Linked DNA regions of Drosophila melanogaster. The protein of the gene in region 1 purifies or fractionates together with the protein of each later gene. This does not show direct contact. Each region holds a gene or a part of one and is shown on either strand. Other genes may lie near its edges.

Region 1 (11,819 bases):
TGCCTGTTCATATCAGTCCAAGCTAGTGTTCCGTTTATAACTCACCTATTTTTGTGTTGAGCGGGGTGGATTGATTTTCCAAACGAGACGTGACCAAAACACTGGGCTTTTACACACAACCCATTGCCCTAAGCGTATTCCGTGGCCCAGTGGCCCGCATTCATGTGCTCCTCCAGCAGGACCGAGTGAAGTACTGGATAGACAAGACGGTGTACTCCTTTAAGAAGATACTCCATATAAATCGCCAAGGGAGGCACAGTGGCGAGTCAGTCAAGGTTATCAATATGCTTAACAGCAAGCGCAACGTAACTACACGCTATGATAGCCCCAAAAACCGCAGTAGAATCAAGCTAAGTGACTTCTCGTTTCTTACAGGGTGGTTCCGGATCGGGATCAGCGCCAGTTCCGCCGCAGCGTCACTCATCCATTCGGCCCAACGCCCCATCGACGCCACCAACGCACATGGCCAATGCCTCGCATCAGTTTGGCAGCAGCTCGGGCTTGTCATCAGGCTCGGGAGCAGGAGCTGCAGCCAGCGTGGGTCGACTGGTCAACGACTTGGAGACCAAGTTCGGGAAGCGATTCCACAACGTCACTGAATTCCCCAAGCCGCCGCCGTTTCTAAATATACAAAAAGTCTATCCTAGTCGCACGTTTAAGGCCACCAATGGTATGTAGTCGAGTGTGTGAGCGAGTGTGTTTGTTTTGTGAGTGTTTTATTTAAGTACATAAACATTTAGATGCATTGTAACTGCGATTATTGTTATATACACACCACACACACACACACACACACGGAATGCTGTTATATAATTAGTTTTCTCTTAAGGCACACGCTCCGGCATTTTAGTTTCGAACTCGAACGATCTATACAACGATTCGTATATCTAAATAATTTTAATTTTAAAAGTGTATTACTACCAGTATAGATTATTATTGTATAGGAAGGGAAAGCCCAGGCTTACAATCCACAGCACACACATATATATGTTAAATCCCGCAGAGTTTAGTAATCTTTTTAATTATTGTTGTTTATTTTACTGTTAACAAGCAATGAAATGATTGCGTAAAGCGCAGCGGAGGAATGTTATTTTGTATATTGATTGCATAACACTAAAGTTGAATAGCTTTATCCAAACATTATATATTTTATAAATTTTAATGTTATATTTTGTTACATTTCAAAAGGGAAGGACTATGGAAGCTTCCCCTCGCGATATTACCACTAAGCACACACAATATTATTACGCATAGTTATATTTTTACCCAATCTATACTATAACTTTATATGTACGTGTATATGTAAACAGAAGCCAACCCATATTGCATTGTATTTCCCTGCGCCCCCATTTACATTTCTCCTACATGTAGCGCATGCCTTTACTTTTGTACCCGGCTATCATTTTATATATATTGTACCTACCAACGTCTCTATATATATGCATATATATTATACCCGATGAATAATTTTTAGTATGCAACAGGCACATTACGAGTAATTGTTTGTTTTAGTTTCGAAGTTATCTTTTGAAGAAACAATAAACCAAAATTCATTTGGATAAAATACATGAACATATTTCATTTGTTTCATTTTGTGTTTAAGTTTTCTCCAGTTTTTGGGCTGCCTCGGCGGCAGATTTCTTCGCTTGGTCATTGGTTCAAATTCATTTGTCCGTTTCAGAAGATTATTACTTCAAAAATATTCTTCAATCTATATAATTTTGATTTTTATGAAATATTTTTGTAGCTTTATTTCAGAATTTCAAGGCACATTGTGCACATTGTCACTTCTGCCGCATATTGCACTAAAAGTGTTCTTACCATTTGTATTTCGTTTTCGCTTGCATCATAGCAGCTCCTTTTGGCTTAGTTAGTCTTCGCTATTTTATATATCTATCCATGTTTGTACATATATCTTTCTCCCCGCTACTCCGATTCTTCCGCAAACAGCACCCGGAAACAGCAGCGTGAACAACAACAACAACGCGGTGGCAAGCAACAATAATACGACCTCGAATCCTAATCCTGGCGGGTTCGGAGGAGGATTAGCTCCAGTGCTAAAGCCGGCGCACGCTCCACTGAAAAAGCATCGGGCACCGGCTCCACCTCCTCAAGCTGGCGTGGCAGCCGCCACGGTATCAGTCATCCGGCAATCAAGTTTCCTTTACGGCGGAGCGGCAGGTGGTTCCAGTGGCTCCACCAGCATACGGCCACAGTCCCAGCCACCTGGAATCGGTCCGCGGAACTCCACCGTCTACTGAACTTAGGGCTTGATCTGTATATACATAAGTGTGTGCATGTGGAGTGTGTGTTTGTGGCTCGTTGTTGATGTATGTTGTAAGCGGGAGTGTTTTGTGCCACAGGCAAAAGTTCAAAAGTCAATGAAAAGTGCAATAAACCAAATACCATGGCACACTGAAAAGACCCAATAGAGAACCTGAAGAAAGGGCAGGCCCATGCTAAAAAATCACCGATAATTCGTTCGCGTCTTCCCAGGCTGCACTTAATAAATGGCTAAAGCAGAGAACAAAATAAGCCGCACATAAAATTTGTATATAGAATTAGCACCAAGTTAGTGAAATTAATTACCCAGCTCCATCTATACCTTTTATAGGCGGGTGTAAATGATTGTATGTACATTTAGGAGCGCGCCTCTTTGCATAAATATCTTACTAGACTGAACATGTTAAAACCCAACAGCAACAAATAATTAATGTAATTATATACATACGATATTTAGAATCGACTATTGTACGACTTAATCCCCTAGAGCAATACACACACACAAACAAGAGAAATATGTTAACAATGAAATACTGAAGCACAACCGAGGGCATTTCAACGAAACTCGCCACATTCCATTTCAAAATTCTTTAGTTCAATGTGCAATACGAGAGTTGGTGTGATAATCTCGAAAGTATTTAGGTATTATCTATCATCTGTGGTTTTCGGTAAACGTTTGTTAAACTCCTTATTGGGCGATAATTATTGGAAGTGAACATAATGCATATTTATATTATTATCCTTATTATTAACTCAATCATTGTTGTTGGACTTGGTGTCATTAGAAGTATTATTCAGCAATTGCATAACATTTTATTCCGAATCAAAATCATTGCAGTTATAAATAAAATTACGAAGTCATTCAAAAACTGAGCAACTGAGTGGTTTCATTGAGTCAACAAAATTGGTAACCATTTTTGCAAAGCCATGTTATGTATGCTATATATTTGAGTAAGTGTAAATGCTTTTAAGCCATAACAATTTTTATCTTAACCCTAGCTTAAATGTAAAGTAAAGCCTTTTCTTGGTTACGTGTAATAACAAATCGCACTTGTTCAACCTAAAATCTAAATATGGCCGATTTTAGGCAACCTCATTCTTCTGTTTAAGACATTGCACCGCCTCCTGGAGGCCCTGATCCTCGCGCTTACGTATTCGTTCACATTTGGGACATGGCTGCTTCTCATTCAAACACTCAGCGTGGAACACAGCTCCACAGGCCAGACACTGTAAAAAGATGTGTGAGCGCCAGTATGAAAATATCTGTCATCTTGCAATTTCTTGATAGTTCGACTCACTCTGAATGTGGTGCTGATGTGAAAGGGATACAGCACCCTTGGACTCTGGCATATCTCGCAGATGAATCCTTTTAGGTGGCACAGTCTGCACTTCAAGACATGCGCTTCCCCCAATTTGAAGGCTTTCTGCAGCTGCTGACACAGCACACCTCGCTGAATAAGAGCCAAATCTGCTATGGAGTACAGATGAATGTGCTCGTAAAGGTACTCCCTGCCAGCAAACTGATTCTGGAGAAGCTCTATGCTGCTCGGAGCACAGGTATACAAATAGGCCCTAATGAAGTTTAGTCGGATCCGCAGGGATTGCAATTCAGCCATGGCATCGGAAGCAAAATATATTCTCGGGTTAAGCAACTGCATGTCCAGGAATGGATGCGATCGGAATTCGGCAAGGAAAGTTGCTGCCCGCTTGCTGACGCTGTACTTTCGGAAATCCCAATTGTAAATGATGCGAGCGGGTATCAATTGCATCTCAACATCCATGCAGCTATTGCAGTAGTAGCTGCCACTAAAGGCGCAAACTCTAAGGGTAGATACAAATGTAAGTGGGATTAATAATGGACAAACGGATGATCTCACTGAAAGTTGGAGTAGCCAATGCCCAGCGGATGCTGACAGCTCTTGCACAGGAATCCCTGGGCATCCAGACCCGGCTCTCGAGCTAGTTGACACAGCTGGGCCACCATTTGCTGCAGCTCCACCATGTCAAACTCTGAGGTAAGCAGCTCAAACTCCGAGTTGGTCTATAATAAGATAGCATTTAATTTATAATAATCTTAGTTCTCAACCAACTTACGTCCAGTGACTGCAGATCACTCAAGTCTTCTGAAATGGGCGGATCGGTATCTCGCTGAGGCTGAGCCACATTGAGGTTGGAGGCACTGGCCCGAAACTTCTCCCAGATCTCCGACCATCCGGCTCCACTTTCCCGGTTGCTTTCGTGTTTCCGCAACAGAGCATTGTAGCTGCATCTGTCCGTAGTTGGAGAACGCAGACTGACTGAACTACTGACGCTCACAGATCGCTGGAAAAACCTAGATCCTGTCAGTTCCTCTGTGGGTGATGTAGGCGTTGCTTCCAAGTCACCAGACCATGAGGTTTGCATTAGATTGGACAAAGAATTACTGCCCTGGGGCAGAAGAGAAGGTGCTTCAAGATCCAGATCGGCGAAGGAGCTGCTGTCCATTTGACGATTGGATTTTTTCCTCGACCTCGTCTTACTGCCAGATGGAGCTTCCTGCTCTGCTGTTTCATTCGTTTCCGCTTTATCGCCACCTGTTTGCTCCTCGTTAATCACATCCATTTCATCAAACTTTTGTATCAGCAGGTCCAGGTTCTCTCGCTGGCTGAGTTCGGGAACACCAAAGTTGCTATTCCTTCCAAAGGGGCTATTCGAAATGGACTCCGAGAACAGTTCATTGGTCTGCAGGGGCTGTGGCGTCGGTATGGCAATGATATCGGATCCAAGCGAGCTGGCCACATCAACTCCGCTGCTAATCTGCAATGGTATACACAAATTAGTCCACTTGTAGCGATAAAGACCAGGAAAGGCCCTCTTATCATAGGAATTTTGGATTGTTGAACTATACGATAAGTCTAAGCCGAACATTCTTGGCAGGATAAAAGATCATACCGGGCAGGACTTGAGAGCAGGTGTCCAGAGATCAGATAGCTGCAGGGAGTAGTCGGGCCAGTGGTTCAACAGGCTGGAGTTCACTGGCAGATCGAATTGCACATAGGCCTCCAAGCTCTCCATAATCTTGGCGGCCGTCTCCAGACCCTCGGAGTCCCGCATAAGGGCGTTTCGCTTGTAGTACTGCGACAGGGCCGATCCGTTCTTGCGCATGTTGTTCAGATAGGAGGAGAACACAGACTCGTTAAGCGACTGGCGCACCCAGGCGCGGCACTGCCCCGTCTCTGAGGTGATCTGGCTGAGACCCTGCACCTGCTCGATCACCTGCTTGTGCATAAAGACCATGCAGGGCGCCCAGAAGCTGGGCTCGGGCCTGCGTTCCACATCGCCAGCGATGACATTGAAGGTGGCGGACAGGAAGGAGTCCTTCAGCCCGTGCAGGAACAGGGCCTCCAGGGTGGTGCACAGGGCACTGGTCTGCTCACATACTCCCAGGACCTCTGCAATACGTGAATGTATATAAATGGATGGCCATTTCCGGGGGAGTACCCAGAACTCACCCAAACTCTTCTGTTTCACCTCGAACTCTATCTCACGCGCATTTTCGTTCAGTGTATTTATGAGCGCCTCCTTCACGACATTCTCCCGTTTCGAAGAAAAATGGTTCAGGCTGCGGAACAGGGAGCTCATTTGGATGTCGATCCGCACCTTTTGTTGTGGTTTTCCGAGGGTCTAAAGAAATTAACATTGAAGAAATCATCCCCAAAGTGTGACCGTATGCCAGCCCCAAAACAACAAAGAAAAATATACTAGTAATAATTTAGTGCAGTTAGGAAAATGCGATTGTAAATGTTTGCATAGAACATGTTTCACAAAACGTATATAGTTTTATTCTAGTTTAATGTTATAAATTTAAAGTAGTAAAATTAAATTGTATGTAATAATTTAAAGAAGCCCGCGTTCTTCACAAGTTATCGATAGACAATACTTTTTGAAAACCTCAAGCTGCATGGTCACCCTGGAGCGTACACTGGTCAAGTCTGACGTCATTTTGAAACGGTTCTTAACCGATTTCATTTAAATTCAAAATAAATTAAATTTTTAAGTCCGCCAGCCAAACAAACCGTGTCCATTAAAATCTGCAAAAGTGCGCGCCAAGGCAAGCAAAAAGGTCAGATCTTTGAAACTTCAGCGCATTAAGCCACTGAAACCCGTTCTGGTTATTCTTGACTTTCTTCTCAGATCAAATCGCAAATCTCGGCTTATGTGTGAATGCTCGATTATGAGGAAAAAAAAACCCCACGCAGGCTAGCAAAAAGTCACAGCGAAACCGTCAACGAGACAGAATATTAATTGATCTCGCTTGGATCTTTCCTATCCCCAGCTTGTCACTGTCTTGTTATTGTGTTTTGGGTATTTTCGGGTTTTGTTTCAATGAACCGCCATATATTCTGCGGCCAAATGACTCATGCAGATCTTTCGGCCGCCAAGGAATTTTATTAATGAAAGACCATCCCGACTTGTTGAAGGAACCAGAAAAAAAACCCATGCACGTAGTCAGTTGATATAATACTAAAATCAAAATTTGTGTTAAGGTCACGGTGACCAACAAAGGCGACTTTATGTATATGCTTGTTGTTGTCAACGCATTTTTCAATATTTTTGCAATAAAAACGTTGTTGTTTTTACAGAAGATGCGCCGCTCTTGTAGTTGTGAACCAACTGGTTCAGCATTCAAAATGCAAACTGGTCTCAGCCGCCAATTTGTTTGACTTTTCGACTTTTTTCGGCTTGTTGTGTTGTTTTTCGAAAAACACATTTTCCATGTGGGCTGTGTGCATTCAGCAAATTGCATTTTATTCAATTTTATCGATACGAAACGGGTTACCAAATCATTAATAACATAAACAATTTGGCAAATCAGCAATTGCGAGAGTTGTTTCGTTTATTGGCGGCATTCTTTTGGAATGATGTGTTGATGTGTTGTTTTACTCAATACTCACCATGAATTTTAAAATAGAATTTCAAACCTGAAAAACAATGAGTGTATCGGGTGAAATTAGAATTTATTGTTAATAAAACTTGTTAAAAATAATCAGATTTTAATTTATGAATACAAAATGTTATCTTGAGATCTCTTCATGAAAGTTGGAAAGTTGAAAAGCAACCATAACAGAGCACTTAAGTTTGAAATTTACATGCCTATATACTCGGGCTTCCCCAATCCAAATTATATATATATATACAAGTCGGATTTCGCATGGTGAAAAACCGTTGGACTTTGTTGTGCGACATTAATGACGATAAACAATTAATACGGCGCTTTGGGTGAAGGGTCGCGGCGACATTTCCCAACTGAGCCGACTCTATTAAAGTAAATAATATGTGGCGCTTTGTTGCCGCTCTTAGCTGACTGTGCAGTTTCCGAGATGCCAGCGTGTTGCCATTGTTGTGGCCAAAAGCCGAAAAGCCAAAAGAAACCAAGCCAAACGAAACGAAACGAGACGAAGCGGCCTGAAATGTATAAAAACGTTTGTTTTCGTAATACAATTTTGATTACTTCTTCGACGCCAGCCGCCCATTGATGGGCATTGTCTCAGCTGGGCCCCTTTGTGCGTCCCTTAGCGATTTGATTTATGGGCGGAGGAGCTGGGCGCCCAATACTCCACTCCAACAGCGCTACCGTTGGCCATTTGCCGGGATCGCGGTCCATTTGGCAATAGCTTTGTTGTAATTGTTACAATAATAACAGCCGTGATTCCCGACACCACTGCCCCCCATCAACTGGGCAATCACTGACATCGCAGTGGCATGGTTTTCGGGGCTATTCCAAATAGATATCATTCAAAGATATATTTCTCAGGAATAAGCTTTTTTAGAGATTATAGAATTTAATATTATATATACTGCTACAATTTATGTGAACCCCTTTCCTCAAACTACGCCCATTTGCACCAACTGATGGGGCGAGGAAACTCTTTTTGAAGCTCTTTTGATCGTCGAAAGCCAAATGCCGGTACAAATGCTCAAATGCGGAACCAATAAGCTGACATAATTTTTTGTGATGGGCGCTGAAAAAAAAAGAAGATTTGCTCGGGCCAAATGATAATTACATTCCAGAGACATCTGAAGATATGGTCACGGTTGGCTTTCGAATGCGATCATTACCGCACTTAAGTTTGAAGACCATAGAAGATGGTTATTCAAGGACGTAACAGAAACATATCGTTGATACTAAAGTACGAGACTATTGAACTACCTTCTATATGCAAAATATGAAAAGAATTTCATATGGGGGGCGATCATAAAGGTGATGACTTATGAGCACGAGGTGCGATGATCTAATCACCGGTCGCGTCAATAGCCGGGCGGGCCGAAATGCCAAAAGTTCATCGATCACTGACACCGCCGACCAACTCAACGCATCTTTACTGAACGCTGATCTGCCAAAAGTCTGATCGATCGATCGATTGGTTCTCTGACTCAGACCAGTCAAGAACCCAATGCACTGAGCCAGACTGAAACAGGCAAGTTTGAAATGTGTTTATGTCAACGCCGCGATTGTCAAATATTGTATTAATGAATTGAGATGGAGTCGAGAACAACAAGAACTCGCTGTGGGAACAGGATCTGGCGAATCTGTGGCACATGGAAGGCATAACTTATGCATTGTTAGCATAATAATTTTCCAAAAATCAAGCCAAACCTGTCAAAATAAACAAACCGAACGGAGCACATTCGTTTTCAATAACCATTTGCATTTCGTGTGTGTTTAATTTATGCGAAAGTTGTGTCTATTTGGGAGGCGATTTAGCTATTGTCTTGTAAATCATTTAGCGAATAGCACTAATGTTAGGCGACTGTTAGCTGGATGTTAATATTAACACCTTATCGAAATGCGGGATCAACTTCTATTTTGGTATGCTTGCTTCGTTGATATTAATATATAATACATATTACATATATTATCTTGTTCGTCATATCTACTAATCTCATAAAGATATTCGTGCTATAGACGCATTTTTAAGATAACACAAAAGTTGGCTTACAGGGGTTAATATCTGAATCCGATCATGTTGCTCGGCTGACCTTGAACGTCATTGGCAGTGCGTCAAAGTGTGGCGAGAGACCAGTATGCAAAAAAAAACTGATCACCTGGGGTAATTAAAATAATTATTTTGCACTCTTTTCCGGTTGATAGTAGTACACACACACATGGCGATCAGAAGGGTTGGAAAATTCGGGGGGAAGCTGAAAAAGGCTCTTGAATAGATAACGCTTTCGCGCGTTCGAAATTCCCATTTTTCCCAACTTACTTACTTGACACTCTGCCGCCGTCGCAGTCGGCGTCGCTGGCGACGTCGCGGCTTTAGCCAAGTCGAGCTTGGAGCAGCGGCTCTTGGCCAAGTTTATTGAAAGCGCAGAATCCGTGAGCTACGGACGTGTTTCGCTCGAGCGCATCGCGCATCTCCCAGATACGACCTACGATCTCCATCGCTCTTGCTCGCTCGCACCGCCGCCCTCCGCGCATAGCACCCTCTCGCTCGCGCACCGAAGTGATCGTGATATCGTGCCGCGGATTTTATTCCGATTGAGAAAAGGCGGTGAAAATATTACACATTATAGTTGTCGGCTTCGATTGCGACGCCTGCGATTTTGTCATCGCGATCATTGTTGGCCGGATCGACGGCTCCTACGCGATATAATTGTATTCCCGCCGATCTCGCTGCCATCCCCTTTGGGCAATGCCCAATTCCAAATTGTTAATTGCGTGACAAATTCGAAAAGGGGTTAATATATAAAGAGAAATAATACGAGCAGTAAGCCAAAACGCGAAGCTCCGTGCTCACCCACGAGATAATGCAGTTCGATCCGAAGACACGATGCGGTGGCAGCGTGGTTAGCTTTACCGTTATGCTGCTGCTGATCATCGGCGCCGATTTCGCCGCTGGAAGGCCTGGTATTAAATTAAAGCAGCCTATATAGATATAAACTAAGGCGATTGCAATTGCGATTGCGATTGCGCTATCGGATCGCATATTCAATTCGCACCAGCATGCGAATCGGATTTTTGAAACGGCGATCCTCTTCGCTTTTTTTTTGTCTTTACCTCTTTCCTATTTGCGGTTTACGTTTTAAATGTTATGTGTGCTTATTGCGTTTTTTTCTGGAAGAAGCTACAAGTTTATGGGTGACATACAAAGTTATAGATATTATAAATATATGGCATAAATATTATGCCAGTCAAACCTGCTTGAGTAACATTACCATCTATGAATATTTTATAACTTGTGTATAGAATAGCACACCCATGACTTTCAGCTTCTTCTTGACGTTGTTATCTGTAACTAATTTTACGATTTTATCTCGATCCTACTAAGATTTATTCTGAACTGATCCCGAGCCCCCCTCCCCCTTCCTCTGTCTATGAATATCTGTTAGAAATTCCAATTCTTCACTCACTTTTTGCATATACAATCTCACCCTCACTTTCCATTTGCATTTGCATTTCCAAAACTCACCGGTGCACAAGTTCGAACTCACCCCACAGTTAACTTCGATCGTGATCGTGATCATGACCCACATCGGTGGGTAGGCAAGTGCTATCCCACAGCTAACAACTAATGACAGTTGCACCAATAGAACACTCACTGGGTCTGAAATCAATTGAAATATTGGCTAATTTTTATTTAGGATGTCAATACATATATGGAACCACTTTGTTTATGGATGTCCACAGAGAAGAGTATATCTTAAAATACTAATTTTTTCAGAGAAGTGCATTCTCTTGACTTGTCCCGAAGGCTTATGCATGCAATTAGCCTTCGCCGTTGAAGAGCCTTTATAAATGCAGCCTTAAGCTGTTTTTGTTTGACAAACAAACTGAAGAACTGGGTGCTGATCATTAAGTTTTTTTTGGACTGAAAGCGAAATCAGGTAGCCGCTGTAAAAACAAACAGCGAAGTTCCCAAAGGCAAAGCCGTAAGAAAAACGAAATTCGAGAAGAGCCGTTGTGAAGAGGCCCCCGAAGAAAACCCAAAACCAAAGCCAAAACTCCAACTCCAATCTCAAGACGAAACTGAAACCCAGAGCTCCAGCAAGTGGAGTTACGTAAGCTGAAGATAACGTGACTGGCAAGGCTTCGGCGATGTCGTTGTCGATCCGTCTTCCTCTTGGCGTTTGGGGGGTTAAAGGAGGGGTTAAACGACCTCTGGAATGGAGTCCCTTGGGGGGTAGTCCATGTAGTTCATAAATTTAGCGACGCTTTTGTCAAGACGATCTGTTAACTAAGTTGTTTACACCAACTAGAGACTAATGTCGGGGCGCTCTTTTTGGGTCATGGGGCCACAAGCAAGAAGCTGTGACAAGAAACTGAGGATTTCGAGAATGAATGTACCAGAAAACGGTTTAAAGACTTGGCCAAAACCCATTGACCAACTAGACAAGTTAATTGGCTACTAACAATTAAAACCAATCCATAAACTTAGAGCTCATTCAAAGCACCCATGATGGAAATATCATTGGAGCCTAATGGTTTTGTTTGGCACGAAATAGTTATATTTCGGTCGCGGTTTTCATATTCGGCAATCAATGAACCCATCATA
Region 2 (10,586 bases), on another chromosome or scaffold:
TAAAGTTGAACAATGATATTATATTTTCTGTTGAATAGATCTTGCTGGCCAAGAACAAGGAGCTTAACCAGTGGGCTAGCTTAAAGAAAGCTGTCCAAAACAGACCGGAACACGTAGAGAAAAAGGAGCAGCGTCTCTACAAGATGAAAGCCAAGAATGAAGACCTTAAGCGAAAGATATTTAAGAGTCTTTATGGAGAAGGGTGAGTAACTTACAATAAAATTTCGATTTCGAACGGGTGTGTATTAAAACTTGACTCTCATGCAGTTCTGACGATGAGGAGCAGCCAGCAGAAGAGAAACCAGAAGTGACACCAGCTGAAGCGACAGCTCCAGCCGAAAATGGTCAAGTCTCGACAGAAGGTTTGTCCAAATCAAAGAGGAAACGCCTGAAACGTAAGGCTGCCGCAGCAGCAGCCAGTGCTCCTAAGGTTCTAAAAGAAGAAAGTGACTCCAAGGATCCAAAGGAAGCGGATGGATCTACTGAAGATGTCCAGGCAGAAAGTTCTAAGAAAAAAGTCGATACTCCCTCTAAAAAGGGCAAAGATGACGCAAATCAGGAAACTAAAAACAGTCCACAAAGCACGGAGAAAACGAAAAACAATAATGCCTTAAAAAATAACAAAAAAGAGCCTAAAAACGTGCAAAATGGATTCCAAAAACCCCAAAATCAAGCAAATAAAAGTGCAAAGACAAAGTCGAACCAACCATTTAAAACTACGGAAAGTGCGCCTGCAAAAGCAGAAAAATCAAATGGTAATAATCCTTTCAATAAGCCACAATCGAAATCCCAACAAAGGCAGGAACTGCCACCAATTCATAAAAATCAAGGTGGAAACAAAAAGGGACCGAGAAACGCTAACGGCACCAATCCCTTTAAGAAATCAAACCAAAAGCCAAGTGCACCCTTCCCAGCTAAGAAAACGAACAACTTTAAGGCGAAAAACAAGCAAAATAACAATAGTGGAATAACCGACGATCGATTAAAGGCATATGGCATAAATCCCAGAAAATTCCACAAGCGGGAAAAATATGGAAAAAAGGATAACTAAAGAGTTATGATAAATCTAAGAATAAAAGTTCATATATAGTTATACATTTTATAGTTACATTTTATGTACATATGATAACATATTAAAAACCAACACAGCACAATGAACTCTGATTTGATCAGTTATTCTGCGGCAGTCACGTCATCATCGGTGGCCACTCCATCATCATCATCATCATCGTCCTCGGTGCTCTTCATGCGATCCAATTGAAGACGCCGCTCTTGGATGCGAATGCATTTGGGGCAAATCATATTTTTGCGCGTGAGGCAAACTCGGTGGAAGATGGAATTGCACTGATCACACTTGATGCAGCCATCGTCGAAGGGAAAGATCACCTCGTTGTTGCTACAAATCTCGCAAATGTACGCTTGGGCAAGGCACATGGGGCAGGATCGTATGTGATCATTGAATGCCTTGAAAACTCCTTGCAGAAATTCGCTCAGCGCTCCAGATTCCACCTGGCTGAGATCACTTAGGGAATAGAACTCATTTGACTGGGCCAGATGTCGCCGGACACCCAGTTGCTGATCCACCAGCTTCAACTCGCTGGCAATCTTGCAGGCAGCCAGATAGTGGCGCATATGCACCAGATTTTGGCGAAGTTTCTTTACCGCACACAATTTTTCTACGAACACAAACAGCTTGGGATTGTCCTCCTCCAAGCGAATGAGCGGTTTATTTAGGAACAACCTAATCTCTTGGAGCGCCGTGCGCGACACTCTGCGTGGCGAAAAGTCCCAATTGTGGATAATGCGGGCTGGTATAAAGTTACTGTCGTTCCAGTTGCAGCGAGGGCAGTAGTACAATCCACTATAGTCGCATAGACGCGGCTCAATCCAGGTATTTTCTACGAGGAAGGAGTCTAATTATTCGGAACCAAAAGAGTAGCCTTAACTTACTTATATTTAGCATCGTCCCGCACTCGGCGCACTTGTATCCCTGGGAGGCGAGTCCGATTTCTGGACATATCTCCGAAATGGGATGCTGCCGCTCTGAAACCAGGACATGGGCACAAACCCTCTTCACGCCATCGATGCACTTCTGATGGACCAGGAATCCGCAATCGCTGCACACGTACGAGTTCTGCACCACACTCCAAATAATGGTGGTGCAGTGGTCACAGTAGTTCCTCTTGGCGGCTGCCTGCAGACGATTCCGTTTGCCATGATGCGGGTGATGGGGCACAAAATGATGACCCACCACAGCACGTATGGCATTCATAACTACCATGTCCGACGATAGGGAATGCTGCTCCTGGGCCTCCTCCAGCTCCTGCAGTGAGTATCGCAAATCTACCAGGTGCCGCACCAACCAGCGACGCTCCTCGCTGAGTTCCTCGCTCAGCAGGACGAGATCTCTGCAATGGGCGATGGCCGCCTGCAAATCCTGGATATTGGCATCGCTGGTGAAGATTAGGCGCCATTGCTCGCGCACCAAGGACGCGGGAATGGGCAACGCCCTGTACTCCGCACCTTGTGGACCACTTTCCTCGGAGCCTCCGGCCTCGGATCCAGATCCAGTGGAGCCAGAGCCTCCAAGGCCAACTGTTGATCCCAGCGTGGATGAGGCGTGTAACAGGTTGCTGGCGCTCTCGTTAATCAACTGCGCCACCGTGCCCGGAATGCTCGTGAGACTGTCCTTCCAGGAGCTCATTTTTGGGGAAGAACAACAAAACAAGTCTTTGTGTGTTTTTTTAGCGACCAGGGATGCGAGCAATTGGTGCAGATGAGCGAACTAGTTATCGTTCACGGGGCAAACTGCAGGTGGTTGTACGCATCCCTGGAATGCACCTTAATACAGTGAAAGAAAAAATGTGAGGGTTAATTATTTATAAATATTTTGAATTTAACTTTTAATATTTTTAAAATATGATACAATTTGAAACCATATTCTGAAATATGTCAAGCGTGGTTTGCATAAAGCAAATATTTTTGTTACCATATTTTACCATTTAATATTAAATTGTAATTTAAGAAATCTAACAATCTATTGTGTTTATTCCAGATAAAAATGCCTATTTTTAACTTGAAAATTCGTCTGCTAAAAACTGTAGGCTTTAAAACTAGTATCAATAAGCCCTTTATTCTATTGTTCCTTCTATTTACATATATTCTGTAAGTAGAGGAAAATAACTAGAAAACCAAAAATATATTTTGAAAAATTGAAAAGAGAGTGACTTGTGTTGAATACGTTTATTGTTCGATGGTCACAAGGTGGACTGACAAGCTGGGTAAAAATTGAGTTAAATTACGATCTCTATGGGGTAAGTGGATGCAGACAAAGATATAACAAGGAAAACATATGTAATCTATCCAATATCGTTGGTTCGTTTTGGGGTTCGTATTCGTTGGGTCCAGGATCTAGACCACATTGGTGTGCTCGTCGCGATGGAAGATCTTCACGTCGACGAACTTGAAGTTGTGGACATCGAAGTAGTAGTCATGCTTCACCGGCCTGTTGAAGGGGAAACCGAAGGGCAGGGCGTCCACGTAGCGGGAACCGTGTCCCACGCCGCAGCTGACCACCGGATCGTAGCCAGTGAACTGGGCAACCTCGGGCTGGTGGTACGGGTAGACCATGTAGAAGAACTGGAACACCTGGCCGCCCTTCTTGCCGCGCGGCAGCATCATTCGGTTGGGCACGCCGCAATGGGCCTCCGACTGATCCAGCTTGAACTTGTAGTCACTGTTGGTGGCGTCCATCAGCTTCTGGTAGAGCTCCAGGTAGGTGGTGCGATCGTTCACCCAGAAGGAGAAGTCACCGCTGGCGCGCTTGATGTGGTTAACGCCCGCCTCCAGATGCACCTTGAAGTGCTCCAGCTCGAAGAAGTTCTGGTAGTTGTGCTCCAGTGGGATCTCGTGTCCGTGCTCATCGTACTTGGGTCCAATGAAGACCTTCACAACGGCATCCTGAGCCTTGTCCGAGGTCACGTCCAGGGTGAACTCGAAGGGCTTGTGGTTGAGACGCTGCTGGCGGGCCTTGATCACATAGCTGGATCCCTTGTAGTGGGAGTTCCTGCCGAAGGTGTACAACGGATCGGCGGATCCCTCAACGGCGGGCTCCACATTGACGGCATTGCTGATGTCCGAGTCGAAGTGCTCGAAGTAGGTGGTCAGACTTTCGGGCATGTGGACGGCATCGATGTGGACACCCTCGAAGGCGTAATCCTTCTTGTGGTACTCCGGATAGGTCTCCATCAGATGCCAGTAGTGGCTGACAATGGTCTTGTATACCTCGTAGAAGATCGGATCGCGCATAGAGGTGTCGTAGTGCATGAAAAGGCCAGGGAAGCTCTCGTCACCATGGCCATAATGGTGGCCCTCGTTCACAATGAAGCGGTACAGCTTGTCAAGACTGCCGTAGAACTTCTTGTCCACGCTGTCCGCATTGCCCTGGATGATGTTGCCCAGCACATTGATGGTCTCCACATCGAACTTCTCGTTCTTGTGGATCCAGTCCATGACACGCTGCGTGTACATCTCCACATGCTCGATGTGCTCGTAGTTGTGCTCGTGGTAGAAGCTGTGGTGATTCTCCCGGTGCCATTGGGGTACGCCGTAGTAGGTGCGCAGGTTACTGGCATAGCCGGATTCGGTTGGCACATACATGTTGAAAGCGGGCACCTCGCCGAGATCGTGGGACAGACGCTCCAGGTACCAACGGGCCAGCAATTGCCAGTGGACATACAGGTAGAGCTCACCGCGACGATCCTTGTTAAGGACATGCTCCTCGCCGCCCTTCGTCCAGAACGGATAGTCCAGATTGAAGTAGTAGTAGAAGGCATTGAAGCCAACATCCTCCAGGTAGTAGGCCAAATCGTGATCGTAGTTCAGGGAACCGTGCACGTTCGAATAGTTCGTACGGATCACCACGTTGTAGATGTTGTCCATCTGCTTGACATGATGGAAGCCGTGCATTTTGTAGTGCTCAGCCCATTCCAGTGCCTGGCTATCGAAGTAGCTCCATGGGTGGATCTCGTAGTGGGCCGGCAGGACGACTCCCTGCATATCATCACGGAACAAACTGGCAATGGTCACGGCGTACACGAACAACTGCTTGTTTACGTGCTGGCGGGCCCAGTAGACGACGTGCTGGAAGGTCTCCCAGTTCTTGGCGAAGTAGAAGAGACGCACCAGACCCACCACATACTCCTCGTGCTTGTCGTACATCACCGACCACACCATGTCATCGGTGAAGGGTTGGTGTTGCCACAGCTCGAAGAAGTGCTCCAACATCTCCGGGTGCACATAGTCGGCCACGTGCTCCCACGGCTTGTACTCCACGTAGCTGCCCCCGAAGGGCGTGGTGAACACATCGTCCTGGTAGATGTGCTGCAGGATCTGGTACATGAACTTCTGTTTCATCAGAAAGTCCTTGTCCGCCACCTTGGAGTCCAGGTGCTTGGCCTGGCCGAGAGTAGCCAGCAATGCCACTGCAGCTAACGCAATCACCGTGAACGACTTCATCTTCTCGAGTCGATTCGAATCGTAACGCTGCAATGATCGGTAGCCAGTATTTATACCCCCGGATCGGCGATACGCAGATTGCAATCCGGCCAATGACCGGTCGCATCCGTAGCCTTGATCCGCGCCATCGCCGGATCTGAACGACCCGCGAAGCTCTCAATCTTAGCGCCCATGCTGCATCCATAATTGCAGGTGATAAGACCGACGATTAGGCGGCCATACCAAGATCAATCCTACATCATTATCTAAATTCAAGAGTGAGCCACTAGAAACTGGTGGTTAGGTGAAGCAGCTGGAAGATCCAGTTAAGATTTCCTCGCTCCAGAGACACCTTCTCCAGCTGTCTAAATAGGAGAGTCTAAAAAAAAGAATGCCCAAAATATCACGATTACATTGATACTATTTATAAGCAAACCCACTTGCATTGTCAACTTAAAAAGTTCATACCACAGCACATTAAAAACGTGAATTGGTACACCTATTTTGTCGCCGTGTAATGACTTTCATTTTTCCCCATTTTTCCATTTCAAACTGATGATCGTGCTTTTTTCACACATATCAACAACAGGTGTTTGACGGGCCCCCTTGATTAACCTATTTCAAATAGTGATTAAGATTACATGGCCACCTGATCTCCTGTCAATTGAGGTGTTACCAGGCGGCTTCCTTGATAAGTTTGCTTTGTTCGCCGCATCGATTCTTTATCAATGCTAAAAATATTCCGAATTGCAAAACACGGAGCATCATGTTGCTGCGACAACAAATCCCGGACAACAAAGAACAATGGACCATCGAATGATCCGCAGGTCAATGGAGAACATATCAATCAATCAGACCCATTTCAGTCCTCGGTTTTTATACTGCTATTAAATGTCCTTCAAAATAAAAATATATATGATTACAGGATAGGAAATTATGACGTTCTATGCAAATGCATATGATCTCATTAGTATATCTATACGTACATATCTTTATTTTAGTTTACACAGAATCTACAAAATTTATTTTACGAAAAGTAACCATTGCGTAGATAAACACTATCCAAATTATTTGGCGGCTGGATTCGTGGAAGTCTTCGTACGGCCTCCCGATTCTCGTCGGGAGTCACGTTGAGCATCTGCCCCGGATGTTCCGCTCGTTGGTTTTGGCAGGAGACTCTCGGTTCCGGGGATCTGTAGAACTCCGTGTTCCTTCGGCGCGGATACATCTCACAGGTGGTCAGGATCTACAGAAAAGCACGGAGATAAATTTGAAAGACCAAAAGAGAAATGAAATACTTACGGGCTGATTTGAAGACGTACCCCTATCCATGGTTAAAAAACTTTTATATTCGAAATAAACAAATTTTGAAAATTTAGAAATTTTTCAATGATTTTGTCCGGTTACTCGAAAGATATGAAAAGAAACCTAACCGAAACGGGTGAAAATAGTTTATGAAAACCCGAAACCATAATCATGGCATACTTTTTTTTAGATTTGCGTTTCAAGTTTTGAAATTGGTATTGGTATATCTTGAAATATATATTTTTATATTATTCAGACTTCGAGAACATATGAGTCTCGTCTATTCAAGGTGATCACATTGCTGCGTCATTCGCAAAGTCTTCAAAATATGATTCATCCGATTTAGAATAAACAACACCTTATCATTAGAAGTATACATTAATGCAAAATGTTGTTCAAATGTTTAGTTGCTAATCAAAAGAAAATGATTTCTTTTATAAATGCATAATCTTATTGCTTTTTAGAAACTCAAATAAAAAAAAACCCATTTTATTGCAAACCTTCCGTTTACTTTCATTCATTTTCTGTAATGTCCTTTTATTCCTTTTATAATTATTTTGTAGAAATCAAGTTTTGATAACTTTTTTCAAGTTACCCCAAAAATATTAGCCAACTAATGAACTGCTCACGCATCGCTTTTCCTAATTGGGAATTACGGCTCCCATGGGAAATCCTCTACAGGTGTTGTGTTCACCCAAAGGATATTTCACTGGTTAGTCTGCTCGTAGAACATGAAGTTTTTGGTTGGATTGCTGCTCCAATGGTATCTTCCTGGCATTTATGCCCTTGCCGAGATTGCCTGTCGCATAGCCGTAGAGCAGAATGTCCAGGTGACCTATCTGTACCGCTGTGCCAGCTGCCCGGCATCCTTCGATGCGGATTACTCTGCCTTGGAATTGGATCTCTATCGGTGTGTGGGCAGTAGACTGCCCGTAATCACACGGAACATGGAAGCACATGAGCTGGAACCATTTAGACGAACGGACAGCCTAAGCATCTTTCAAATTCCGGCTGCCGAAAAGGGTGATTCCTTGGTACGCCGCATCCTGGACATGTTGAATCCTCACCAGAGGCGCAAGCATATGCACAAGTATCTGTTTGTTTGGCCAAATGCCGGAAGGCATCAGTTACTGCGACTTTTTCGCGGCAGTTGGGCCAAGAAGCTGCTCTACGGATTGGCCATTACCGGCAGGGAAAATGGCACCTTTGACTTTGATCCCTTTGCTTGGGGTGGTCTCCAAGTGATTCAGCGGCTGGATGGCGAAGTGCCGTACGCAAGAAAGGTGAAGGACTTGCGCGGCTACCCATTGCGTTTCTCCATGTTTACGGATCCGTTGATGGCGATGCCCAGGAGTCCTGTGGAGACAGCTGGCTATCAGGCAGTGGATGGAGTGGCGGCCCGAGTTGTTGGCGAGATGTTGAATGCCTCAGTAACATATGTCTTCCCGGAGGATAACGAATCCTACGGTCGTTGCCTTCCGAATGGAAACTACACCGGCGTGGTCAGCGACATAGTCGGTGGTCACACCCACTTTGCACCCAATTCCCGCTTCGTGCTCGACTGCATTTGGCCAGCGGTTGAGGTGCTGTATCCCTATACCCGTCGCAACCTGCACCTGGTCGTGCCCGCCTCCGCAATCCAGCCGGAGTACCTGATCTTCGTGCGTGTCTTTCGGCGAACTGTGTGGTACTTGCTCTTGGTCACCCTTTTGGTTGTGGTGCTGGTCTTCTGGGTGATGCAACGTCTGCAGCGAAGAATTCCCCGTCGCGGAGTCATCCAGTTTCAGGCAACGTGGTATGAGATTCTCGAGATGTTCGGCAAGACACATGTGGGTGAACCGGCGGGCAGGCTATCCTCCTTCAGCTCGATGAGAACGTTCCTCATGGGTTGGATCCTCTTCAGCTACGTCCTGTCCACCATCTACTTTGCCAAACTGGAGTCCGGATTTGTGCGACCAAGCTACGAGGAGCAGGTGGACCGAGTGGACGATTTGGTACATTTGGATGTGCACATTTATGCGGTGACCACGATGTATGACGCAGTTAGGAGCGCCCTGACGGAGCACCAATACGGTCTGCTGGAGAACCGTAGTCGCCAGCTGCCACTGGGAATAGCCACATCCTATTACCAGCCGGTGGTCCGGCGCAGGGATCGACGAGCGGCCTTTATCATGCGGGATTTTCACGCCCGTGACTTTCTGGCCATCACCTATGACTCGCAGGCAGAGCGACCAGCCTACCACATCGCCCGGGAATATCTGCGCTCTATGATATGCACCTACATCCTACCAAGAGGATCGCCCTTTCTGCACCGCTTGGAATCTCTGTACAGTGGCTTCCTCGAGCACGGCTTCTTTGAGCACTGGCGTCAAATGGATCTGATCACCCGGGTTGGTGCGTCGCCGGATGCTGAGGAGTTTCTCGAGGATCTGGGCGACCAGACGGACACGGATTCCGGCTCCAACGAGTTGGCGATTCGTAACAAAAAGGTGGTTCTCACTCTGGACATCCTGCAGGGCGCCTTCTATCTCTGGTCCGTGGGGATTGGCATAAGCTGCTTGGGATTTGCAGTGGAGCACGCTCATTGGTTTTGGCGGAGACAGACACTTCGGAATGCGGTTGAAGCTAGAACAAGCTAACTAAAAATATTAAAAATTACTAAATAAAAGGTACATATATGTTTGTTATTGTAAATACTATACTAAGTTTTCAATAAATTTCACCGCTGTTTAGTTGGACATGTTGTTTTATACATTTTAATGATAAAACTGTAGTTTTATATTATTCTAACCATTTAATGAATTTAACCATTTATTCCAATTAACCTTTCTTGTAAATTTAAATGTAACGGCTTTTTATGTTGTTATGGCTTAACATTCCGCGCGTAACAGCACACTGGAGACCCCCAGTATCAGAGCATCGATAGCACCCATCGATAGTCCGATCACCAGCAACCCTGCCTCCGGCTGTCATGTTTCACTTCCGGAGCTTGCGAACAAAATAGAATCGCTAAGGCAAAGAAAACCCTGCGAGTGGCGAGTGTTTTAAGATCACACTCAAAAACAACATCCAAAGTGGTTAGTGGCAGTTGAGAGAGTGCCCAAGACCCCGAATACCAGCCGGGCAGACACGAACAACACCAGCAGCAGCAGCACCACCATCATCAACAGCAGCAGCAGCATTTCCCGCTTTTCGTTTTCGTCGTCGCCGAACAACAAATAACAAAACCACGACAAACGATGGCTGATGCCGCGGAGAGTAAGCCACTGGCCGCCGAACAGCAGCAGGCGCAGCAGCAGCCGGAGCAGCAGCAGAATCCGCCGAATCCGCAGGAGCAGGATCACGAGCAGGAGCCGCTGGACGAGCTGCAGGGACAGCAGGGCCAGCCCGCTCCGCCCACCAAGGAAGTCATCGGTAAGGCTGAAACTCGCATGTTAAACCCAATTCCCAACCAATTTCATTCATGTGCCGCGAACACATGGCGGCTGCTACCAAAATAGCAATGAAAAAAAGGAGGAAAAAAGAACAAGAAACATGCCTCCCTGTATGCGTGTGTGTGTGTGTGTTTTGAGTCTTAAAATATACGCGCGTCGGCCATTTTGTGCGGCCAAAGGCAACGCAACGCATGTATATATGTATGTGCACGAACGCTCGCGCCGCCGGCTAACCAAATTGAAAATTCTGCCTTTTGCCGGTCGTCTGTCTTTCCACCCACCCAACCACCAACCCCACCCGCTTCGCCTCTTTAAAAAATGCCCCCCCATAGGTGTACACACACACACACA

Evidence for each region.
Region 2: the proteins of Plekhm1 (region 1) and DEF8 purify together in Drosophila melanogaster (affinity purification with mass spectrometry, with the first as the bait; one large-scale study listed by BioGRID). This does not show direct contact.

Annotation. Positions count from the first base shown.
Region 1 is NT_033778.4:22,097,337-22,109,155, reverse strand, and holds Plekhm1 (pleckstrin homology and RUN domain containing M1), read right to left. Parts: upstream 5,980-11,819; 5' UTR 5,905-5,979; coding exon 5,775-5,904; intron 5,715-5,774; coding exon 5,215-5,714; intron 5,080-5,214; coding exon 4,378-5,079; intron 4,325-4,377; coding exon 4,161-4,324; intron 4,105-4,160; coding exon 3,582-4,104; intron 3,511-3,581; coding exon 3,367-3,510; 3' UTR 3,193-3,366; downstream 1-3,192. Other genes in the region: Vrp1 (verprolin 1), read left to right, coding at 177-305, 376-670, 1,951-2,261; flap (flapper), read left to right, coding at 10,075-10,174.
Region 2 is NT_037436.4:12,124,341-12,134,926, reverse strand, and holds DEF8 (differentially expressed in FDCP 8 homolog), read right to left. Parts: upstream 2,782-10,586; 5' UTR 2,705-2,781; coding exon 1,951-2,704; exon of another isoform or gene 1,899-1,950; coding exon 1,174-1,898; 3' UTR 1,093-1,173; downstream 1-1,092. Other genes in the region: CG5645 (uncharacterized protein), read left to right, coding at 39-202, 268-1,051; Lsp2 (larval serum protein 2), read right to left, coding at 3,412-5,517; CG34241 (uncharacterized protein), read right to left, coding at 6,524-6,742, 6,799-6,828; Ir68b (ionotropic receptor 68b), read left to right, coding at 7,533-9,440; yps (ypsilon schachtel), read left to right, coding at 10,041-10,215.